3 linked regions of the Caenorhabditis elegans genome follow. The protein of the gene in region 1 purifies or fractionates together with the protein of each later gene. This does not show direct contact. Each region holds a gene or a part of one and is shown on either strand. Other genes may lie near its edges. The genes, in order: unc-5, madd-4 and unc-129.

Region 1 (3,754 bases):
TATTTCACTTTTGTTTCGAACGCCGGATGACGTTTAAAACTTCTAGACCATCAAAGTATGTATATTTCCGCCATAAATTAAAAAATCCTGCATAAGAAAGCCAGGCGCGGCCAGCTTGAAGGTAGGCAGGCACTCAGAATTTGCCTTCGTGAGATAGTCCTTCTAAAAATCCGTGCTATCGCGGGAATATAAATTTTGATAAGAAAATTTGAAAAAAAAATTTCAAATTTTTTACAGTTTCATCTATCTTATATATATTGTAACGATACTCGTATTTATTAGTATAATCTTTATTTTTATCGCGGCTGGACCTCACTATCAGATTATAAACTGAAATTTTATCGCAACCAGTGTCATAATACAAACTATGTGAAAACAGGTGACACCACTCCCGTTCACCCATTAACCTCTCCCAATTTTACAACATCTATCAACTGGAGAATCTATGAGCCATAAAGTAAACTAATGCGTAAGTAAAATATTCTGTTTACACATGTCAACAGTTTAATAAAGCAACAACATATATTTTCGTTCTGATTGACATTTGACATTAAGGTATACCTGTGGGGGAATGTACGGGGGGTCCATCAAAAAGAGAATACCGCTCCCCCCCCCCCCTCCAGGTACGTCGTCATCATCATTGACTCAGGAAACGTTACAACAATATCATTTGGCGGCAAAAATCATCGGACCTAGTCATCCGTGGTGTGAATGGGTGATGATTGGAGAAGAGGGGAAAGAGGTGAGCACACACACAAAAAAACAACAGAAGAAGAAGAAGAAGCAACTGGTGGTGGTGGTGAAAAGAGTTCTGGCGAGAATTGGGATTAAGTGGCGGCACGTGTGTCTTTGGAGATGGGACACCTTCTCAAAGGTTCAATGATGTATGAGTGAGTGGGAAACGGAAGAAATTGGAGAAAGGGACTAACTGAAGTAAGGTAGAGAATGCCTGCCTGTTTCTGTGCCTACTTATAGTTTTATGATGAGTCGCAAGACCTAGATACTGTCGGCTGCTAGTGAACTCATGTTTGATTTTATGAAAGAGCAAAATAAAAATGGATATTCAAAAGGCAGGTAGACGTTAGGCAAATTAAAACGCCTGCCTGCCATCAATGAAAGCGCTAGAGTATATTATGACTGCTTGATCAAATTTTTCTTGAAATGTTAATTTTTAGAAATATTGACTAAACTTTAATTTGTTAACTTTTCCGTTATATTCCCAATTTTAAGGAGAGGTGTGATTGATAACGTTTCATAGATCAGACTTTATTAAAATTGTGAAAATGTATAGAATCTCTGCAAAATTCACGTGATTTTTAAATGTTACAACCAAAGATAATTTTGAGGTAAGTTTTAAAGTAACGTTATTGTTTCAAGAAATGTTTTTATAAAAAAACACAGAAGGCAGTCTGCAAAGCGAGAGAGTCTGCCTCCTCGTCGGAGGGAATTTTTACTTTGGGAAAACAGTTCAGAATTTTTTGCAAAACTATATAAACATTTTATAAATGTTTTTTTAACAAACGCAATCACATCACAAGGAAATTTAAAATACTTATACAATTTCTGAAACAGTAATTTTTTTCAAATTTTTTAAATGTTCAAACCGTGGCCATACAGATACCAAAAGTAAAACAAATCTAGTATTTACTGACAAATCATCAAAAAAAAGTGTCATAGCTCCTTGAAACTAACACCAAACAATTCACTGACCCCTCTTAATACTTCCTAATATTTACCCCCGTTACCCCCTGCCGGGGGCACCCATTGGCATATTTTCTAAACAAAGAAAAGATAGTCCTTAACTTTTTTATAAGTAGGATAAAATAAGAGGGATTAATTCAAAAATCAGAAACTCACTTGATTTGTAGTCCAAGAAATAATCGCTGTATGCTGCATCTCCATTGGAATCTGAACTCACATCGGGCGTGTCGTCCTCCATCTGTAGAATTTCAAATTTTCAAATTAAAAGGAAAAACTGATGGAAAGAATAAAAATCAAAATGAAAAAATTGTGGAGGTCCCGTGAAGAAATAAAAAAGGTTTTTGTGAGCACGGAAGACATGTGAACAAGAGGAAGAGAGAGCGGCGATTCTTGTAATAAAAACCAGATGTTAAAGAAAGGATAAAGGTCCGAAAAATACAAATTGGACAACCAACCAGACCACAGACAGAGTTCAATGTTTTCTAGATTTGGGTTGGAAAAAATAGTGAACTTTTCTGTCTGTAAACTTAGTAATTATAGATTTTTTTCACTTTCTAAACTGATTTTTTTTCAATGATCCAAAATTATTTCTTATTTAAAAAATGGAACGAAAAACCACAGAACATCAAAACTTATTTGAAATTACATTTTGAAAAAAAACATGGTGAAACAGTCAACTTTTTAATTTAATTACAATATAGGGGTTACAATTGTTGACATACGACTATGGTCTTGAAGTTGCATTAAATAAAGTGAATCTACTGAAACAGACAAATAAATTTTATAAATTTCAACTATCTAGAAAAAAGTTTTAGATAACTTTTTCGTGATGTTTCGTGCTGATATGTAAACTCCTTGCTGCTCAAAAAACTGTAAAAATCTGTTTGCAATGTTATTACACTTCACCTACAGAGACATTTTTGTATTTTCTCATAGAAAACTTATTTGACTTTTTTACAATCATAGAACACTCAAGAATTTGTTTTCGGATTAAATACAAAGGTATCATACGAGGCAATGTCGGAGAAAAATCTGAATTTAAAAGAAGCCTTACTGAAACTGTAACAATATTTTGTGCTTCAAGAAACTAAATTCTCAAACAAATAGGAGGTTATTGGAATTTTAAACGAACTTAAAAAAAGGGAGTTGATTTTTTTTCTTCAATTTGCACACTTTGGTTTAGTTTGAATATAATCAGGATACAGAAAAAATTGATTTTGATGAAAAAAAATCATCCAGAGAAAATTTGATCCAGTAAAAACATGTTTCATAGTTTTGATGAATTTTATATAATTTCACAGTTGTATTAGAATTGGAATAATACCCGTTCAATTATTGAAGAATTTTGAATTTGATAAATATTCAGACCAACTTTTTCTTACATGGAACTCATAAGCTTTATTGTCTCAATAACAATAATGGATTCAATAAAACAAAAATACTCTTAATTCACAAAAGATCCAATTGAAACTGTAAAAAAAATGTGTGCTTCATCTTCAGTGATTGAATTCTGAAGGAATAGAAAATAGTGGAAATTAAGACAACAAAGCATGGAATCTGAAAAAATGGAAAATTTTTCTAAAAACATTTTTTAGAGATCATTATATGGGGAGTGGTAATTTGAATTCCATTGTTACGCAGATTCTAGAAAAGTCGTCTTTGAAAATACTTACTATTCACTAGAGATGTTAGCTAGAGAACAATTTTTTCTGTAAAAGCCTGTTTCATTATTTTGATAAATAAACCATGATTTTTGAAATGTTAGTGACATCTGAACATTTCTTTTTTAAAAAAATTACTGTTTCAAAGTCAAATGTTATAATTTTATTAAACTTTCAATGTTAATCGTCCTATGTGTCAAGCAGAGCAAGATTATGTGAGAAATTGTGAGAAAATATAATATTTGAGCAAGTGAATGAAAAGAGTACCGCCTAACTCAAAAACTTGAAATTAACATAATAAAGAGAAATTCTCGTGGTAAAGGCGGGAGATTCCCTGAAGGGTTACTGTAGGTTTTCATGGGTTGGAAGGAAAAACTACAAATTTGAATAAT
Region 2 (3,754 bases), on another chromosome or scaffold:
TCCTTGTTTTTTAAAATTTATCCAGATATGTTTATGAAATTTAAAGTATTTTATGATCCAGGTCGATTTTAGACAATTTTCTAATCGACGTCGACGTATGCCGAAGCTGGGGGTACCTGCGTCGATTAGCCTGACTTCGGCGTCGATCAGAATAGATTTACCAGAGTTTAGTGAGAAATGTGTTTATGTTTTCATAAAAACCCAAAATTCAGACGTCAGAATTCAAAAACCTTCCCCTTCAAATTTTAAAAGAAAATGAGTTGTAGTCGCAGAATATGTTACCTGAAAAGAAGTAGGGGTGACTCTATTGTCTTTATTTCTTTTTTCTTTTTACAATTTTTCATTCTCACTTTTTTTTTACTTTTCAAGTTTGTTCAATAGTCTTCTGCAAAAATATTTCAGTTATAATAGTTGTGTTTTCCAAAAAATTAGTTCAATTCTTTTTTTTTGCAGTTCTTCTTTGTTTTTCCAGTCATGTCCTCATTCCATAAATCCCATTGGTCGTCGATTTCCCATTTTGAATTGCCCCTAGTTTTCCGATTTACTGCATTTTTCAAAAAAAAAGAAAAAAAAACGTTTACTATTGAATACCTATGCCTGGTTGAAAGAATGGGTTTTGTCAGACACTGGTTAACCTTTGCTCAGCTCTTTTTTTGAAGTTTGTAGTTATCGTTTTTGGAGTTTTTATTACAACCTGGTATCATGAATATTTTTTCTCTTCCATTTTCATTTTTCCTTCCCAAGTGTGCTGCCCGAGTCTATTGGAAGTCAGAATACCAACGTGTTCCTTGACACTTTTTGATTTGATTTCCACATTTTTTCCTACATTCTCCTCTTCTTTTGGCTTTTCTTCTCTCCTGAGCAACGAAGTTTAACCATTGCAATATTTGTAACTTTCATATAATAAGTAGTGGAGTTTTTGAATTGATTAAAAAGTTTTTGAATTGATTTGCATCATGGTCTAAACGAATAAAACTTCTCCAAGAGACTCCTCAAAAAGCTTTCAATAACGTAGTTGTTGTTCAAAATTAAAAAAAAATTACAAAACTTGTGTTCCATCGACTAAGATGGTACCTAAATTCCAAAAAAAAAAACGAGTAATAAATTACTAAACTGGAAAATTTGGCATATATTCCAGGTAAATTTAGCCTGTTTCTTTCAGATAATTTTGAGTACATTGAATAAATTTTGTTACTACCTCTATCCCGGCTCGCCATTCGCCTTGTTGCTTCCTATCAAAAACTTTTGTCTAGGAGTTACTCAACACGACTTATCAATGAATTGCTAATTTTAGAAATAATTACTAAAAAATGTTGGAATGGGTTGAGAAACCACATGTTCATAGGAGAGTAAATTTCTACGAATTCAAACTAATTTTGCCAAATATTTATTGTAATTTCTTGCTTTTTTTTGTTGATTGTTGGCCCACTTACTTAGTTTACGTTAATGTTTTTTTTCTCTACAGCTACTCTTTTTAATTAAATTTCTTTTTGTTTTAATCAGAGGTAAAGTGCTATAATTTGGCTCAACCAACTCACAGGTGATTCGCGGGTTTTAAAATACTTATGAAATGTAGTTCGCGCGCTTCTACAAGAGGCACCAGCGATATAGTAAAATACTTGCAAAATCGCAAATATTGTGCAAATTGCGATCACCGAGAGTCGCGATTACCAAAATACTGCTAAAATGTTAATGGTCCCGCGGCGAAATTCGCGATTTGCAAAATGCATCTAAAATATTGGAGGTCATAAGTATTTTACAAACGGCGAATCACCTGTGCTATTGTAAAGTGGAAAACTTCTATAACTATTTCTTCGAACCCTCTAATTTTCCTATCCAAAAAATAGTTGAAGCCCACATAAATCTTTTAATACATTTATCTCTATTTCATTCTTTCTCTTCTAACTGGTAATTTGAAATTCGAATATTTTCTTCAAGTTCCGGCATCTGTATATTTTCTTTTTATAAAACTTCCAAAAAAATATTTGCAGCCAAGGACAATTCAAGCGTTTGTTAATTTTTACACAAAAAAAGGAAAAAAAACAATGAAACAAAGTGTAAAATGAATGAAAATGAAGTGTTCATATACCGTAGTATTTTTACTATTTTACTTGCTTATTGCGAGTTTCCACGTGGATGCTCTTAGTTGGGCGGCATGGAGTCCTTGGAGTTCGTGTACTAAAACGGTAATCGGACAGAGAAGCTATTCAGAAAAAAAAAATTTTCAGTGTGGTGGCGGAGTTTCTCGTCAGTTACGACGTTGTTTGACATCAAAATGCTCAGGAGAATCAGTTCGATTCAAAGTTTGTGCTCAAAAAACTTGCGAGTCAAAATCTAGATTAGCTAGGGATACAATATGTGGAGGAGAGGAAATAGTCTCCAGGGGACAGGTATGTATGAACCACTTTCAAAATAATGTTTTCTTGTGAAGAAACATTTATTTAAAAAAAGTTTTTGTAGTAGTAGTCAAAAAATAATTTGGACAAATGTACCGAATAACCAAAAACGCAAAAACGTTCAGCCCTGCAGCAAGAGTGTTGTTTTTTCGATTTCTCAATTTTTTATGAATGTCGAAAAAAAAATTTCGGATTCTCAAACTATTAATTTTTTAACGGTCTAAATTTCAATAATATCCACATATCATGATACATAACATTCTAACAATTTTGTAAAAGTTGTGGTAAATTTCCAAATTTTCCAAAAATGTGGACTTCCTGAGAAATTTCGAGTTGTACTGCAGGTTTGAATCCCTAGAGTGTTTAAATATAAACAATCTTTAAAAAATGCGGAAAACTGAGTTTTCAAGTGTAGATTTAAAAAAGCCAAATAATTGTTGAAAAGTTTGAATTTTTTTTGAAAAGTTTGTGAATCATACATGAACAGTTTTCAAGCACCTATAAGTGAAAAAATAAGAACTAAAATTCAGTGCGAAGTGGTATGCCGATCACGCTTAACTGGTGCAAATTTTCTTTGGAGAGTTGATGATGGAACGCCGTGTCAGGCCGCAACAAGTAGAGCTGTCTGCAGTAAAGGGTCTTGTCAGGTTACTAAATATAATTGTTTTAATTATTATTTTCCCCAAATTTCAGATCGTTGGCTGTGACGGATTGATTAGTTCATCTTTTCGATTTGATGCCTGTGGAGTATGTGGAGGACGAGGGGATACGTGTGACAATGGAAAGTTCATTTGGAAAGTTTCCGGTAGAATTTTAAAGATTTACAACAATCACTCAAAACACTAAGATTTCCAGAAGAATACACTGCATGCGCTTCAAATTGTGATGATATAGTTGACTGGTCAGGTGCTGGACGTTCAATTGCTTCAACTAGTCAACCAATTGTTGTATGTGTAAATGCAATAACTGGAAGAGTTGTTCCTGAAAAGTTATGTGCTGATAAATTGAGACCGAAAGTTGAAGCAAGACCATGCCCAATGCTGATTTGCCCTTCAAGGTTTGAAATTTTAAATTATTTTATATTTATGCTTAAGTGCATAGTTTCGTAAATAGTTTTAAATTCTAGTTGTTGTCTGTACTTTTTGAAAAGCACAAACCTCTAAAAAACAAAAAACCGAACTCAAATTTCTGTTAACTTTTGTATTTTAATAATTTGAATTGTTTTTGAATATCCAATTTCCTTTTTCAAGAAATATTCTTTATATCGTTTCCTAAATTAGATTTGCTAATTTGATTTTAATTAATAATTTCAGATGCCGGTGAGTTTTTCCAAAAAGATCCCAAATCAGGGTGTGGTA
Region 3 (3,754 bases), 3.5 Mb from region 1:
GTGATTTTATGAGGTGTTTGTTGGATGAATGAGATAGATTACGGTGGAAATACTGATTGGATGCCAACTTTTGAGATATCAGATTATCAGAAAAGTTTAAAGAAAGCAAATTTACAATGTTTATATTGTTCTACGGTTCTGTTATAAAATAGAAACTGTATTAACTTACATTTTTATTTTGCAAAAGCACAACTCGAACATCATTAGCCAGTTCTTCATTTGCAATTCTTTCTCTTTCTTCTCTTGAAGTCTCTTCTCCAAAACCTTGCCAAACATCTTCTGATGAAATTTCCTCAGATAAACTGTTCTTTTTTCCATTCTTTCTCTTTATTGGCTCACGATCATCATTATCCAATGGAATCGAGTTATAATTATAATATTCTCTCAATTCTTCATTTCCCAAATCTCTTCTCTTTCTTTTTGTCTGTTCAGTTTGTTTCATAACTGATACAGTATCCAGAGTATGATTAACTTTAGAATAAATCACAAGGAATGGTGTACTTTTTCGAATCATTTCAGCATAAGGTCTCATCTTTGAATGTTCTCTTGTAATACGAAATACTGCTTGCTTTGCATCCAAATGATATGAATCGAAAACTGATTTTGTTGCATCCCAAATAACTTTATATTCTTCCAAATTCTCATCTCCTCCAACTCGAATCTTTTTCAAGGTCTGTTGCCTACAGTACTCATTCACACAAACCGACTTTGCCCGAATTTGACGAGATCGTCTTCTTGCAAATGAATCTCGTCTTCTGAGGTAGAAATGTAACTCTGCACGCATAATGGATTCATGGGAATCAAATCCTTCAACATCAAACACCAAGACTTCCTGTCCCTCGAATTTTCCAACTGCCGGCTCAATGGCACGTACCAGATTACCATCTTCATTCGAGTCTTCGTCAATGAAATTCTGAAATAATGAATTTATAAAAATGATGTTTTTCAGAAAGGTGAAGAAATTTACTAAAATTTACTGAAACATTCATTATAATTTTTGCATACGCACGCACTGGCATACGCACAAACTGACAAAATTATTTCTGTTCACATGTTTCGCTGACTAAGAACAAAACACACACAGGGCTGAAGGGAACCGAGATTTTAGCTGAAATTTCGGCAACTTTCCGGCAATTTGGTTGCACAGCCCTAGTGCACGGGTATTTGAACAGGAAGAAATCGAATGAATCCGACTTGAAAACTTACAGAAAAACCATCTCAACAAAGAATTATGTTTCCGGATTCTCGCAAATTTATTTAACCGGGCACATTTTAAAAAATGAATTAGAAAAACAATTATTTGAAATTATAATAATAGTACAAAACACTCACTTCATAAAGATTTTTCATATGCTCGGTGAGAGTGTGTGATGATCGGTGGAATGAGGTAACGTCTGAAAGTTGTTTAAATTTTTTAGATTCATTTTCGCTTCAACATCAAACTTGAGGGAAATTGTGTTAACTGTTTATTACTGTTTTGATTTAACTCATTTGAGCAACATTTTCCTTTCAGAGGTCTAATGCATTTCAGAAGCTCAAATATGACAATTATTTTTCAAAATAAAATAACTCACTTGGATCTGAACTTTTAAAATGAAGAAGATCTCGAATGGTTTCATTAATAAGATCCACGTCCACCTTTGCACAGTTGGCTATAGAAAAAACCGAAAGCAATAAGACAATCGGAAGTCGCCTCATTTTCTTGCTTGCTCTTCCAATTTTCCTGAAACAATTTTTTATAGTGAAGCTTGAGATCAAATTCAAAGAGGAATTTCAGAATTTGGGATCAAACAAATAAGATGCGGAGTTTCTCAAATAGTATTAAGTTTCCGGAAAAGAAAAAGCAAGCAAAAATTGGAAAGTTCAAGTTCCCATATCGGTGACCACATGCAAACAAAAAAAAACGAAACATGTCCCTGAATTCTTCGTGTGACATGACATTGCTCTCTGGAGAGCTAATAGACGAATAGAGGAACCGGCAAAGGTGACATGTCAAACTGAGAAAACGACAAATTTTTGAGATATTCGACGCTTGGGAATATATATTCTAAAATTTCGCAATTTGGGAATGTTGGACTGTGAATCGTTCCCTGCGAGACACGAATTTGGAAAATTGAAAAAGAATCAAAAATTGCATCAAACTTTTGGGAACATGGAATACACATAAAAAAACAAAAATGATATGTAAAGGATGTAATCCATGTTTCTTATTTTCATGTAAATTTCCGGTTAAGGAAAATTCAGTTTGGTGAATTTTAGAACAAAGAAAAGGAAAAGTGGATGACATGCTCAGTGAACCAAATTTTAATTGATTCTTATCTTCAAACAGTCGAACACCTGAAAAGCTATAATAGAAGATGAGTTGTATGGAAATTGAAATTTGAAATGGAAAAAGAAGAAAAGTGGTGATATTTTCTAAAGGACATGAAGAAAATCTTCCGAAAATCCGCATTGGTTTCCTTGGCAATATAAGGAACGGCAGGAAAACCAGAGAGAAGCAACGTGCGTTCATCAATTCGAACAAAGAAGAATGAAACGCAAAAAGAGTAATAAAAATGAATAACGAGAAAATTATTGGCTTCTTCTTTTACAAACAAAGTTTTGCATTTGGTAGTGGCCGCCGGGCGCCGATGAGATTGACACAGAAGTATTAATTGGAGGACATCCCAAACATAGTGCCAATAGAACATGTATATGTGACATGATAATGAGATGGATTTTTTGCCGGATTTTTCAGGAAGATTTTGGTACTTTCAGTGGGGATTTTAAATTTTGTGAATTCATTGATGAAAAATGTCTACCATAAAATGGAAAATTGTTTTACGAAACATGGCAAAAGTTTGCGAAAAAATAGATTGTCGAGCTCGGCTAATTCGGCAAATGTTTTGCTGATAATTACGAGCACGGCAATCCCAGTAAATCAAAATGCATTTTTTTAAATTTGGAACTTAAAAATTACAGAATGAACGGAAAGCTTGTTACTCGAGTTTTCTAAATGTTTCATGATTTTCTTGAAAAAAATTGAAAAAAATCCAAATTTGTATGCTATTTCATTTATTTTTTAAAATAAAATCATTAGGTTTAGTCGAAAATTTTTTCAACAATTTTTAGTGTGAACGGTAACCTTTAAAACTGGTCAAGCTCGGTGAATTCGGTAAGTCTACATTTTTAAATGTACAAAAAAATTAGGCAGAGTAAATTGTTTCCAAAAATCTTAATCCACGTTAAAAACAGGTGGTAATCCGTGTTTTTTATGAAGGACATTCCAGAAACAAAGACAACGAATTAACCTTGCCACCGAAAGCATCCGCGCGTATTTCTTCTGTCCAATATGTTTCAAATTACCTCATTACGGTAATTATCGACCATCTTCTTCTTCCGCAATCCGAAAATCCGTAAAAAAGAGGGAAGATGGAAGGAAGACATAATAAAAATACAAAGAAGAACGGTACATGCCAAAAGAGGTAAAAAGACATGCATGTTTATGGCGGAGGTTGATGATGATACAATTATTATGTACATATACAAAAAGGCGATGTAAAGGTCAGATAAGGAAAGCGGCAGACGGAGGGCAAATATGATGGACGGCATATTAACACCTGTGCTTAAAAAGAGCAGAATAAGGTCAGAGGTGATAATTATGTTGAACAATGGGAATGAGGAGAAACTAAGAAGTTGATGGGAACATGTTGATAAGGAAAAAACTCATTACGGAACTTCTGTGATAACTTTTCTTGAATATAAAAAATAACTG

The links.
Region 2: the proteins of unc-5 (region 1) and madd-4 purify together in Caenorhabditis elegans (affinity purification with western blotting, with the first as the bait; one study listed by BioGRID). This does not show direct contact.
Region 3: the proteins of unc-5 (region 1) and unc-129 purify together in Caenorhabditis elegans (affinity purification with western blotting, with the first as the bait; one study listed by BioGRID). This does not show direct contact.

What each region holds. Positions count from the first base shown.
Region 1 is NC_003282.8:5,526,400-5,530,153, forward strand, and holds the start of unc-5 (Netrin receptor unc-5), read right to left. Parts: upstream 1,940-3,754; coding exon 1,858-1,939; intron 1,527-1,857; exon of another isoform or gene 1,506-1,526; intron 1,242-1,505; exon of another isoform or gene 1,221-1,241; intron 304-1,220; exon of another isoform or gene 283-303; intron 1-282. UniProt on the Caenorhabditis elegans protein: Receptor for netrin (unc-6) required for axon guidance. Mediates axon repulsion of neuronal growth cones in the developing nervous system upon ligand binding.
Region 2 is NC_003279.8:8,940,523-8,944,276, reverse strand, and holds the start of madd-4 (Protein madd-4), read left to right. Parts: upstream 1-1,989; 5' UTR 1,990-2,072; coding exon 2,073-2,186; intron 2,187-2,228; coding exon 2,229-2,390; intron 2,391-2,926; coding exon 2,927-3,043; intron 3,044-3,089; coding exon 3,090-3,201; intron 3,202-3,251; coding exon 3,252-3,453; intron 3,454-3,709; coding exon 3,710-3,715; intron 3,716-3,754. UniProt on the Caenorhabditis elegans protein: Component of an extracellular matrix cue that is involved in the guidance of dorsoventral midline migrations and in the specification of postsynaptic domains at neuromuscular junctions (NMJs).
Region 3 is NC_003282.8:9,003,688-9,007,441, forward strand, and holds the start of unc-129 (BMP-like protein unc-129), read right to left. Parts: upstream 1,724-3,754; 5' UTR 1,699-1,723; coding exon 1,575-1,698; intron 1,395-1,574; coding exon 1,333-1,394; intron 914-1,332; coding exon 170-913; intron 1-169. UniProt on the Caenorhabditis elegans protein: Required for the migration of axonal growth-cones and distal tip cells (DTC) along the dorsal-ventral axis of the body wall. Acts cell nonautonomously and independently of the classical daf-4, sma-6 or daf-1 TGFbeta receptor signaling.